Mus musculus: one gene and its partners. The protein of the gene in region 2 purifies or fractionates together with the protein of the main gene of each other region. This does not show direct contact. Links are inferred from orthologs where the notes say so. Each region holds a gene or a part of one and is shown on either strand. Other genes may lie near its edges.

The links. The genes of interacting proteins can lie anywhere in the genome.
Region 1: the proteins of Prmt1 (region 2) and Serbp1 purify together in Homo sapiens (affinity purification with mass spectrometry; 3 studies listed by BioGRID and IntAct, with this or other methods). This does not show direct contact. The link is inferred for Mus musculus from reciprocal best matches to the Homo sapiens genes PRMT1 and SERBP1.
Region 3: the proteins of Prmt1 (region 2) and Alyref purify together in Homo sapiens (affinity purification with mass spectrometry; 3 studies listed by BioGRID and IntAct, with this or other methods). This does not show direct contact. The link is inferred for Mus musculus from reciprocal best matches to the Homo sapiens genes PRMT1 and ALYREF.

What each region holds. Positions count from the first base shown.
Region 1 is NC_000072.6:67,265,672-67,269,778, forward strand, and holds the start of Serbp1 (plasminogen activator inhibitor 1 RNA-binding protein), read left to right. Parts: upstream 1-1,307; 5' UTR 1,308-1,425; coding exon 1,426-1,738; intron 1,739-4,107. UniProt on the Homo sapiens protein: Ribosome-binding protein that promotes ribosome hibernation, a process during which ribosomes are stabilized in an inactive state and preserved from proteasomal degradation.
Region 2 is NC_000073.6:44,983,621-44,987,792, reverse strand, and holds the start of Prmt1 (protein arginine N-methyltransferase 1), read left to right. Parts: upstream 1-1,372; 5' UTR 1,373-1,474; coding exon 1,475-1,510; intron 1,511-3,659; coding exon of another isoform or gene 3,660-3,713; exon of another isoform or gene 3,714-4,019; coding exon of another isoform or gene 4,020-4,058; intron 4,059-4,172. UniProt on the Homo sapiens protein: Arginine methyltransferase that methylates (mono and asymmetric dimethylation) the guanidino nitrogens of arginyl residues present in proteins such as ESR1, histone H2, H3 and H4, FMR1, ILF3, HNRNPA1, HNRNPD, NFATC2IP, SUPT5H, TAF15, EWS, HABP4, SERBP1, RBM15, FOXO1, CHTOP, MAP3K5/ASK1, MICU1 and NPRL2.
Region 3 is NC_000077.6:120,595,566-120,599,776, reverse strand, and holds the start of Alyref (THO complex subunit 4), read left to right. Parts: upstream 1-1,411; 5' UTR 1,412-1,438; coding exon 1,439-1,672; intron 1,673-2,010; coding exon 2,011-2,142; intron 2,143-3,709; coding exon 3,710-3,857; intron 3,858-4,056; exon of another isoform or gene 4,057-4,169; intron 4,170-4,211. Other genes in the region: Anapc11 (anaphase-promoting complex subunit 11), read right to left, coding at 409-517. UniProt on the Homo sapiens protein: Functions as an mRNA export adapter; component of the transcription/export (TREX) complex which is thought to couple mRNA transcription, processing and nuclear export, and specifically associates with spliced mRNA and not with unspliced pre-mRNA.

The DNA of each region.
Region 1 (4,107 bases), on a different chromosome or scaffold from region 2:
TGTTGTAATTTCTATCAGGACAGAACTTGGTTTACAGAATTGATGTCAACAGTCTCATAGTGCAGCTAGAAGATTGCCACTAGCACTTAAGTGTGACCTTAGTAAGTTTTATCAATTCTGACAGTTTCATCCCTGTGAGAAAGGGATAGTTATTTATCTAAAAGGATGTGAGGATGAAACATTCGTAGCACCTGCTGCCTGAGGTATGTTTTCTATTACATAATGTATCAATGGAAAAGATTTAAAATTATAGTGTGTATTGGCACTGGATTGTCTTAGTGGGATTTAAGGTTCCCAACTAATGTCAGAGTTAGCATATAATTACGAAATTAGTTTCCTCCCTTCACACATAATACCCAATGTACTATAAAACATTTCCTCTTGAGCACATTTGGGGAGCTGGAGACAGGGTTTTTTCTTATGAAATCCCTGCGGTCCTGGAACTTGCTCTGTAGACCTGGTTAGCCTTGAACTCTGCCTCCTAAGTGTTCAGATTAAAGGCATGCGCCACCACCCCAGGCTCTGGAGCACATTTTACTAACACCGCTGACCAGATACCGACAGATCAATTTATCGCGTTGATTCTAGAAAGCGTTTCCACAAACACTGTTTTAGAGGATGGCCGAGCGTGCAGTTGTGCAGTCAGGACTTAACAGCTCTTAAAGCATGGTTGCAATGACCGGAAAAGGCGCGCAACCCAATTAGTTCAACTCCTCTTTTGGATTCCTTCTGCCACGCAGATTCAACCCTGGAACTCCGTTCCACATTAAACCGAATTGCCTTGATTCGTTACGAAGGGTGGAGGGACAGCTCTAGAAATCCAACAGTCAGGGACGAGCAGCCGTGCGGTCGCAACCTACCGGAGGCTACTGTGGCACCCCCCACCCCCCGGAAGTTTTTGAGGCTCCAGTTACTAGGTCTGGGAGTCACCTTGACCCTCCCAGAAAGGTGGGGAAAGTCCTGGCCGGAGACAGAATGAGTGAAACCAAAGACAGAGAACACTTTCGTGAGCAGAAGACGCCCTCACGTTTTCCTGTTCTCAGAGGTATCTAAAGACCGAGAGTTTAAGGGTGACAAGAGCAGGTGGCAGAACTCCGCCCCGTACTCGCTTCCCCACCTTCAGCGAGCACGCTGCACACTTTCCTTGAGATCCCGCCTCTCAGGCGCGCGCGAAGAGTTGCTGCGCAGTGCACGCTGGGAGTTGAAGTTCAGGAGTAGACAGCCATCCCGGGCTAATCAGTTGTGGCCTACAGGCCCCATGGTGCCGTGCGGCGCAGGCCGCTCCCGGATGTGTGCTTGGCGCCGGAAGAGAAGGCGGCCCCCCTCTCTCGGCCCGGCCATCTTGTGGGAAGAGCTGAAGCAGGCGCTTTTGGCTCGGCGCGGTCCGCTGCAATCCGTGGAGGAACGCGCCGCCGAGCCACCATCATGCCTGGGCACCTACAGGAAGGCTTCGGCTGCGTGGTCACCAACCGATTCGACCAGCTATTTGACGACGAATCGGACCCTTTCGAGGTACTGAAGGCAGCAGAGAACAAGAAAAAAGAAGCCGGCGGGGGCGGCGTTGGGGGCCCCGGGGCCAAGAGCGCGGCTCAGGCCGCGGCCCAGACCAACTCCAACGCGGCGGGCAAACAGTTGCGTAAAGAGTCCCAGAAAGACCGCAAGAACCCGCTGCCCCCCAGCGTCGGCGTGGCCGACAAAAAGGAGGAGACGCAGCCGCCGGTGGCGCTTAAGAAAGAAGGTAAAGCCGGGCGAGGCGGTGGGGAGCCCGGGCTGGCGGGCAGGACGGGGGCGTGCGCCGCCGCTTGCTCGTGCAGGCGGCGGGGCCGCAGAGCCCTCGGAGCCCCTTCACGGTGCGGGGAACGTGGCTGGTCCCAAGTCCACGCCGCTCTCTCGGTCGCTTGCTCGCTCGCAGGCTCGGCGGGAGCCTTCCTTCCCGCCTCGGGCGGACGGAGCGTGCTCCGAGAGGGCGGCCCGGGCGTTCCCGCCGATTCCTGCCGGGCGCTAGCCTCCTGGCTCTAGGCGCTCGGGAAGCAGCGCGGGCATTGCTTCCTGCCCGGCGGGCTCCTGGCTGCCGCTGCCTGCTGTGGGCTCCTGCCCTGCCATCTTGTCCCACAATGGCGCGGACCCTCAAGGAAAGGCCCGGGCTCAGAGTTTCCACTTGGGCTGCGTCTCCGTTTGGGGGTCCCTGTTAGAGTGGAGGGAGGGAGGAGTTGCTGTTTGGGTCCCACGTGTGTGTTTTGTGTTGTGCCCTTTCGCTCTTACGTTAGAAGAAGTTCCTGTAACTTACTGGCGAGAACTAAAGTGTTGGAGAGGAGAAGAATTTAGCCCCACTCATTTTAGAGGGAGTTCCGAATAAAAAACTGGTCATTAGTGGAACCCATCTCATGTCTCCATCTCTTCTTCCAACTAACTCCCTGGAGCCCCCAGGTCATAGGGCTTTGCTTGTTCTGGGCCTCGTGGGCGAAATGAGTGCCCAGCCTGTCATGTCCCGGCAGCAGAACTCAGGCTGCAGCTTTTCCTCCGCACGTGCGTAAAGCGTGGTCGGGTCTTCATTGGCGGCTAATGGTCTCTTCAAGGGCACTAGAAGTTTCATAGTTGTTTTGATTTTAGCATTCTTCTCCATTACTGGCTTATTGTGGATGAAAAGGCAAAGCAATTAGGGGCTAAAAAAGTGAAAAATCAATAGCGAGTACATATAGAATAACCTGTGAATCTTTAAAATTGGTATTATGTTAAAGTGCCTCTCAATGCCACGTGCTCATGAAAGGAATTGTTTCTCATTAGATTGTGTTAGGTTTGAAGTTTTTTGGGGGTGGTGGTGTCTTTCAATGAAGGCTTAGAGTAAAACATCCAGTTCCTAGTAGATTTATAAAAGGGAAGAGTTCTATTAATATATTTGGAAGCATAGTCTGGAGTGTTAGAAAACATCACTTGGGCAGAAGTACTGAGCGGATTAAGCTTCTTGACATTACATAGTTGAATAAGACATTTAATTTCTGTGTTAGGGACACTAGATAGTGTTATTTAAACTACTAAAATTTACCTCCTTTATGACTGTAATTCACAGAAGTACATGAATAAGTTGAGTAAATAAAACACATCACATAGATGAACTCAAAAAATGGTCAAAACATGAAGCATGATTTTAAATTATTCAATTTTCATCACAAAGCCAATTTATGATCTTGCCTGTAAACTAGCATAAGTCATCAATGGAGGACATTTTTATTTATAGCCAGGATTACGTTTGTCATTTACTTCAGAAAACTTTTTCACAATAGTAGTCAACCTTTTTTTTAGTTACGTCCAAGTCTTCCATGGGTTGTACTGGGTATTGAACTTAGAACCTTGTCCTTGCTGGGGAAAATTTTGCATTACACATCTCAAACCCTTAGATCACTCTTTAAAACCAGAGTTGATTTTAAATAAGGTTATATATACATATGGGGAAATTTTGAATAAAACTTCCAGTTAGTGCTGTGTGGTGGTGGTTGGTAGACTTGTAAACAAAGTACCTATCTGTAAGAGTGGAAACAATTGTTAACCTATGGTGTGTCCTGTGTCTCGGGAACACAATGCTGGAATGTAATGTTTTTCTACATAAATTTTGATGCATTTGTCTATTTGAAGAACTTGAATTGGCAAAATGTCATTAAAAGTAGACCAGGTTTTTTGTGTTTAGCAAAAAAAGAAAAGCAACTCTGGATATTAGTGCAGTTAAGAAACTCATGTATCTGGTAAGTACAGTAAAAGAACCTTGTATGCTTTTTAAAAAATTTTTTTTCAGTAGATGAATTTATATTTTGTGGTAAAAGTGGCCGAACCCAGCATTTTGCAAACTAAGTGAAAGTAGCTCTCACTGAGCTACACTCCCAACCACTTGATGAGTTTAGTAAGTTTTTTTCTGATTATGTAGGCCTCATACTGAATATTGGGTGGGGAAGCAAGCCATTGTTCCTTGGGTGTGTTTAGCTTGGTTATCATTACAAGTTCTGAGCTGGTTCTATAGCTCCACCCCAATACACTATACCTCTGATGAAATTTATGTAAATGCCACGGCATAAGGGCTACATTTAAGGCTTGCCCTGAGAATTTACAGAGACTGAG
Region 2 (4,172 bases):
GCAGGCGGATCTATGAGTAAGAGGACAGCCAAGGATACACAGAGAAACACTATCGAGGAAAAACGGGAAAAAAAGGGGGACCATATTGGCTGGGCAAGATTTTCATAGGCCTTAAATCTCAGCACTTGGGAGACAAAAACAGGTTGATCTCCACGGCGAGTTCCAGGCCCAAGGCACAGTGAGAATCAGTCAAACAAAAGATCTACCAGATTGTAAGTGTTGGTCTGCAGCAGAGGGTAAAGGTGCTTGCCGCTAAGCCTGACGACTTGTGTTCAATTCCCTACACTCACATCGTGGGAGAAAGGACTCCTGTTCATTGCTTTGTGACCTCCATACGTGCAAGGCACACACGAATGCATGCTCACACTATACAAAGTAAGTGTTAGGCGTTGGAAGGAAACAGGTCAGATGTGCTCGCGTACCTTATGCGGAAGCTCCCACTGGAGGGCTCATACGGGAGTTTAAAGGATCTTATGTTTGGACCATAGACTGGTGGGACTGAAGGCAAAGGGAAGGTTCACGAATCCAGCAACTGACATCCATCCTCAGGGAAGGAGTAACTTTCTGCAGATTCAGGGAAATTTCCTGGAAGAGGTGGCGTCCGAATTGCCGGTGATTGACGTGTAGGAGTTGGTCAGACAAAGGACGCTGGGTGTTTCCCGCAGAGGACCTGGAGGCCACGAGGAGGCCACAGGTGTTCAGAACTTGGCGCCTTCCAGCACAGGGGTGGGAAGCTCACAGCGAATCATGGCTGGTTTCGGAATCACAGACTAGAATGCGCCCTCATCCACGTCTCAGGAATTGGGGTTTTCCCTATAACTTAACGCGCCCACGCTCCCCAGTTCCTCCAGAAAACATCCAAGACCGGGGTAGGGGGTATGGGGGAGAGGAATCCACAGAATGGTGATGATTGACATTCCTAAGAGCCAGTTGCTGCTGCCCAAAGCTCTGCCTGCTTCCTTATGGGCCAATGGCCCCTCTTCTTCTAGGCCTGTCGCTTAAACAGGGTGGCGTTAGAGCCGCGAACGTCACCTTTGGCTCAGCCAATATCAACGAGGGAGGAGGGGATTAGCTTAATGATAGACAAGTCAGTTTCTAGACGTCCGCTTAGCGCGGAGCCCGCCGGGAAGCTCCAGGGCGGAGCTGGCCAGAAAGGGGCGGGAAGATCTGGTGAATTTTACCCAATCGTCACACGTGCTGGGTGAGACAGACAGGCAGTTGTTCTCTTCCTAGCGGACAGGAGGGGGCGGGCCTTTAAACGCTAGGGGGGCGGGCACTTTATGTTTGATAGGCGTGTCTGTCATCCAATTGAAATATGAAGCTCTCAGATGGACGGCTTTACAGACCAATGAGAACTTATGGCGGGGTATCGGGGGCTGGGCTGAGGACCCTCTGGTAAAAGGCGGTCCCCGGTCGAGCCGGGGGGAGAAAAGAGAGAGGGGGGGGTCTCGGAGGCCGGAGGACTCGGGTGAAGATGGCGGCAGCCGAGGCCGCGAACTGCATCATGGAGGTGAGTAGCTGGGCTCTTTAGGCCCGGGGGCGGCGCGAGACGGGTGGCCCACGGCCTGAACTGTGGGGACGGGGCCTTTTGATGTGCCTGGCTTCGCGTTGGTCCGCATCGGGGGATGTGTTCGATCGTGACGGGAGAGATCTCGGCTTTCGGTGCTTTGGGACCCGCAGCCGAGCCGAGGACTGTCGCACGTGGTCGCGGGCCGGGGGCGCTTCCAGCCGGGCCGCACGTGGTCTCGCAGAGTAGCGTGGGGAGGGGGGTGTGCCGCCTCGAGGGGCCCCGTGGGCTCCACGTGCAGGACAAAGGCCCCGCCCCCAGCCCGATGACCTGGGCTGCACTCAAGGGGTCCAGGGGTTGCCACCCGCTCTCCCTGGCTCGGCTGTGGATGTCCATGCAGCCCGGGCTCTTTGCACCCGCGTGGGGCCTGAGAACATCAGTCCCCAGCCTCCCTTTCCCCAACTCTGTGTTAGCCTTGTGCAGCGGGGGGGGGGGGGGGGGGGGATGGGCATAGCCCTGTGACCTCTCTTTAAGGAGATGGTGGGGAATCTCATCCGAGGAGATCCGGATCCGTCGCCGGGCACCCCCTCGTGGTCACTATGGGCGTGTGAGAGGGGCGTCTTTTTTCATGGGGCGTGGCCCAAGCCCACCCCTTCATGGGAGGGCCCTCGGGTGGATGGATAGTCAGAGGTCAGTGGTGGGGGATAAAGGAGTTCGGATGGCCATGGGCCTTAACCTCCACAGAGCTCCATTTTTACCAACTTGAATGTGGCAAGGGACCCCTTTTTGAACATTTCCGCCTTTTTGCCTAATTTCCCCCCAAAACAGAATGAAATTCTAGCATCTGCCTTGCTTACCTGCTTATCGTTGATTGTTCGATCCTAAGCTGTATTCCTCAGTCTACTTTTTACTTAGTTTAATTAAACAAATGTGCCTGAGCCTGGCGGTGGTGGCGCACGCCTTTGATCCCAGCACTTGGGAGGCAGAGGCAGGCAGATTTCTGAGTTGAAGGACAGCCTGGTCTACAGAGTGAGTTCCAGGACAGCCAGGGCTACACAGAGAAACCCTGCCTCAAAAAAAAAAATGTGCTTGGCCTTGAACTCACCCTGTAGCTGAGTATGGCCTTGAACTTGCCATTTTCTTTTGACTTCTGAGTAGCTCATCATCAGGCTTGTAAGGCAGGTCCTAGACATGGGTTTCAAGCTCTCTTCAGTCATTTGTCAACCTTCTGGTGTCCGTCTGTACTATTGAAAAAGTGGGGCCCACGTGGGAATCTCACCTCCCAGGCTGTGGGGAGCTGAGAGCTTGGTTAGGTTGTGACGTTTCTCTGGAAGCCTTGGGTGGCAGTCATTGATGGTATTTAATTTGATGGGGCCCATACCTCTTCAAGTTCTCTGGAGGGGAAGGTCAGTTGCTGGGAAATCTGCCATAAATAGGGATCAGTTAGCCTACAGGGTCACTATGGTGACCCTGGGCCCTGGGACTTGTGGACAGAGAAAAGAAAAGGCTGTTCCAGTGTGGGAACCCAGGTGAGGTGGGGAATGGGCTGGACCCAGTTTTCCAAGGCATATATGATACCTCCTCAGAAAGGCAGGGAAACCAAAGAGGTCAGGTTGCCTCTGTGTGTTGGTGTGGGTGTGAGTTGGTGGTATGCCTGCTGCTTTGGTGGTGTGCTACGTCTCTCTAATGGAATCCTCTTAGGACAGGCGACAGCACCCTTCCCTTCCTACCCCTCCCTCCAGTTTATTCATGGCACTTCAGCCTGGCATGTGTGTCAGGAAATGTCACCTAATCTCTTGGGGGGGGATTAGGTAGTGAAGGGGAGCAACAGCTGGGCAGTGCCCATGTGCCCTGGCAAGTATTGGGTCTTGTGGCCTAGATGGGGTAGGTGTGTATGGCCAGTCATTGGACCAAAGAAGGACAACAGGGGGCAGGCCACCATCTCTTCAGCCAACAGCTGGGACAGGAGACCTTCCCTTCCCTCCTTCCTATCCTTCTCTACCCGATCACAGCCTCCCTCATTGCTTGTCCCTGCTCACACACACACTCCCTTCCTTGCCCAGGCAAAGCCAACCTACAAACCACTCACCGCCCCAAAGGCCTTCCCCAATCACCCCGTAGCTAATCCTTTTTCCCTGTTACTCTCTCCTAGAATTTTGTAGCCACCTTGGCTAATGGGATGAGCCTCCAGCCGCCTCTTGAAGAAGTAAATATCCTTTTGTGAGACCCCCACCCAGCCCACTTCCACATAAGCTTACTTGCTATACATCTGGCTCCCCAAGAGGTCTAACCGTCCTCTTGCTTCCAACCAGTTTCCTCTGCTGTGCCCCCTAACCCCTTAGGACAGAGCCCTTCCTGGCCCCAGCTGGCTTCCCCAGAACCATGGCTGCTTCCTTAACTCCATCTCCAGCCCTCCTCCCCTGCCCTTCCATGTGTCTGCCCTGGCTCTGCCCTCTCTCCCTCCCTCCCCAGCTGTGGGCTGAGCTAGAGACAGGCCATAGAGCCTGGAGAGATGGTAGGCGAGGCGGCTGCTCCCTGGATGGTGCTCTGGGTGGGTCCTGGAAGTGGAAACATGACCTGGGGAAGAAAGATGCTGGAGGGGGCTGGAGGGTTGTCCTGGTATGATGAGGGGCTTTTTGCAGGTTGAGGAGACTCTGGGGAACCC
Region 3 (4,211 bases), on a different chromosome or scaffold from region 2:
TTTGTTTTACCTGGTCTTTTATCAAGTCAGGGCTTTTCTTTGTAGCCCTGGTTATCCTGGAACTTGCACTGTTTGGCTTTTTGTTTTTGTTTTGTTTTGTTTTTTGTTTTTTTTTCAAAACAGGGTTTCTCTGTGTAGCCCTGGCTGTCCTGGAACTCCCTCTGTAGATCAGGCTGGCCTTGAACTCAGAGATTCACTTGCCTCTGCCTCCAGAGTGCTGGGATTAAAGGCGTGCAACACCACTGTCCGGTGGGGTTTCGGTTAGGGTTAGGTAACTTGTCCTGTTGACCAGGCTAAACTCAAACTCAGAGATCCTCCAGTCTCTGCCTACCCAGTGCTGGGAAACCTAGGGATTTTTAGGCTGGTGGAGTAGGCTAAAGTTCTGAGAGCGCATAGGAAGACACTTACAGTCTGGACAGCAGCCATTAAACGCCATCCTGCAGATGCCGCAGTTCTCATCATTGGCTACCCAGAGCCAAGTGGCCACACCATTCCAACATTTAATTTTCACCTTCATGACAACAGAGCCTGTGACCTGAGGGAAGAGGATGACCTGGAGTTAGTACGGAATACGAAAGCACCTAAGCTCAAAGTCATGGAGCTGCGGCAAGTGCTGCACTCGTCAAGAACGGCATCTTCCAAAATTCCGTGCGTCCCGACCAAAAAGAAAGAAAAAGGCACGTGTTTGTCTTTAAAGACGGCAAGGAGAGCCTGTGGGATTAATGGCACGAGTTTATTTTGCCACCTTTAAGGATGCCTTTAAAGATCTGCACTCATGTAGTCTGGCACGGTGGCACACGCCTCTAATCCCGGGGCAGAAGCAGATCAGCCAAACAGGAAACGAAAACAAACAAAAAAACAAAAACAAAACCTCCGCATCCACGCAAAACATTGGTTTTCACTAACCAGGGCCTCGCTTTTAAAGATATGGAAAGAGTGACTGTCACTAATCCGCGAAGTTAAAGCAGGGGTGAGGACGCCAGCTCGTCAGGAGACCGAGCCTTCGAGCAAAAACAACCAAGTCGGACCCACGGACCGGCCGGGACCCCCACGATCGCACGGTGAGGAGGGACGCGGGACGCGCACACTGCGCTGCACCCAGGCGACGCCCGAGGATCTTCCGGCCTCCCAGGGAGGCGCCCGCAGGCCCCGCCCCCTGCTCGCCCTCGCACCTCCGCGGCCTAATCACGAGGCGCCCCGCCCTTCCGTTGCCTCCGCGCGGGAATGTATAAAAACGACCGCGCCGCGTCGGGCTCCTCCGAAGTAGCGCCAGCCACCGCGGCGAGCCGTACGCAGGCGCTCTGCGGAATCGCGCGCGCCCAGACCAATCGCCGCTCGCTTCGGGCCCGCGACGCCGGAAGGCAGGGGGAGGCGCCGGAAGTGACGCCGCGGCGTGCTGACGCGCGGGCTCGATCCGAGGCCCGAATCCGCGCCCGCCATGGCCGACAAAATGGACATGTCTTTGGACGACATCATTAAGCTGAACCGGAGCCAGCGAGGAGGCCGCGGCGGGGGCCGGGGTCGCGGCAGGGCCGGCTCCCAGGGCGGCCGCGGCGGCGCAGTGCAGGCCGCCGCGCGGGTGAATCGAGGCGGCGGGCCTATGAGGAACCGGCCCGCCATCGCCCGCGGCGCCGCAGGCGGCGGCAGGAACCGGCCGGCGCCGTACAGCAGAGTGAGTGCGGGGACCTGCGGCGCGGGCCGGGGAGGGTGCGCCCGGGCCGGCCGGGACCGGGTGAGCGTCCCGCGCGGGACCGCGGCCGAGGGGTGGGCGGGGGCGAGGCCGTCCCGAGGCCAGGATCTTCCGGGACGCTTTGTCCGGTCGTGGTCCAGCCTCGTGGCGGCGGGGGCCGCTGCGAGAGAACTTGGGTGTCCGTAGCGGAGCGGCGGGGCTGGGGGACTCTCGGGGCTCCTCGACCTTGGCCGCGGGGCCGACGGGAGAGCGTCGCCGAGGTGTCGCGGGCTCCCGGGACGAGTCTCACGAGTGTCTCTGTGCTTACGGTTTCTCTCCAGCCGAAACAACTTCCCGACAAATGGCAGCACGACCTCTTCGACAGCGGCTTCGGGGGTGGAGCCGGCGTGGAGACCGGCGGGAAGCTGCTGGTGTCCAACCTGGACTTCGGAGTGTCAGATGCTGATATTCAGGTAGGAGACGGGAGCTCTCCGCTTTCCTCGTCCCACGCGGACGTGGGCTCCAGGATCCTTTACAGATTGGAACCTGCCCTCCCCTAGGCTGCCCAGAGCCAGCCACTGTCACCCTGAGAGCCTTGGCCTCAGAAAAAGTAGGGTTTGAGCACGACCCCATAAGCCAGGCTGCAGGAAGATGTCACACACTGTGTGTGTATGTGTGTGTGTGCGCGCGCCCCCCTAAAAATGAGTCCTGTCTGCTGTCCAAACTGTGAGCGCCTGCCCTGTGCCAGAGCTTACAGTTTCTAACCTGCACAGACTGGCCACAACTCCGGTCCCAGCATGACCGAAAGGTGCTTGCTTCTCAGATTTATGCTCGATATGGTGAACTGATAGGAGAAGGAAGTCCAGCATCTCCCAGATGCTGAGAAAGGTGGCTGAGAGTATCTTCCAGCCTGCGTCTCTGTGCTGGATCTTAACTGGCGATCTTTCCTGGGTCTTACCTGGGTCATGGTTCTCCATGCCTTCGAAATATTTTTTTTCTCTTCCCCTCCCTTCTTGGATTTTGTGTCTTTTTAAATTTCTTTATAAACTGGACCTCAGAGGCATTTAGAGTTCTCTGGTTACAAGGCATAATTTTGGGAATTAGCTTTGATATAGCCAGAACTGAGTCAGGTGTGCTGGGCCTTTCTGGGTACCGTTCCCCAGAGCCCAGCTGTTTGACCTCCCCATGGGAGAAAAGAACAAGGCTGGTGAGCACTCACAGTGTCTCAACACTTCTTTTTTTTTTAAGATTTATTTATTTATTTTTATGGATTTGAGTACAGTGTCACTCTCTTCAGAGACACCTGAAGAGGGCATCAGATCCCATTATAGATAGTTGTGAGTCACATTGGTTGCTGGGAATTGAACTCAGGTCCTCTGAAAGAGAGCAGCCAGTGTTCTTAACCCCTGAACCATCTCTCCAGCCTGTCTCAACACTTTTTTTTAAAGGTGGTTTCTGGCATCCACTGGAAACTGCTTTAGCTAGCTGTACTCCCCACTGTGTGCCTGCAGCTGAAGTGCCTTACTCTGTGGGTTCCCTCTCCAACTCCCAGCCAGGACAGGTTCCATGCTGCATTTCACTTCAGACTTGGCAGCAGCAGGCAGTAGGAGGAAAGGGGAAGGTGAGCTAGAACCTGCCTTTGCAGTAGGGGCTGTGTCACAGTTCCCCAAAATACTGGGCCCTTTGCGTTGTCTGCTCAATGGACAGTTTTACTATTGGCCTCTGGTATTTAGTGAAACGCAGTTAGTCAAGTTGAAAGTACCCCTGCTGAGAGAGAGTTTTGTAGTTTTGTCCTGTGATAGGACTTTGTGTCTTCCCTCATCTACAGCATGGTGTAATTACATTGTCCCACAGTGGACAGTAACCCAGTTGTTCGCGACAGTTGCTGTCTCCCCTTCCCTCAGCTCTTAATCTCCACTGCCTTGCCTTCTTCCTGGGTGGCTGTCAGTCAAGTACCTCTAAAGCATAAGGACTTACAGCAAGTGTTGCTGAGCTACAAGAAGGAAATTGGCTTAATTGCTAATTTTTACCCCTTCCCAGGAACTCTTTGCTGAATTTGGGACATTGAAAAAAGCTGCTGTGCACTATGATCGCTCTGGACGAAGTTTAGGGACAGCAGATGTGCACTTTGAACGGAAAGCAGATGCCCTGAAGGCTATGAAACAGTACAATGGTGTCCCTTTGGATGGTGAGTCTGGGACTGGGCCCTGGATGCCTGTGGGGCGTGTGGAGTTTGGGGCTGGCACCTCTCCCTGTAGGAATCTGGGCTGCCCCCCCCCCCTTGGCTGAGGATACTTTGCATTTGCCCCTTTGTCTCTCTCTTCCATTCTGCCACCTCTCATGCTGCCCCACACATCTGGACCAACCTCTTGTGAACCCCCATCCAGCAAGCTACATCCCTCCCCTCCTTGAGCTCCTTCCGGAAGATTCACTTCTGTGAAGCCTTCTCAGAACCGCCATAGTACAACCTGAGTGCGGGGCTGTAGTCGTAAAGACAAAGGTACCTGTTCTTCTTCCGTCAGGTCACCCACACCTGTCTGCC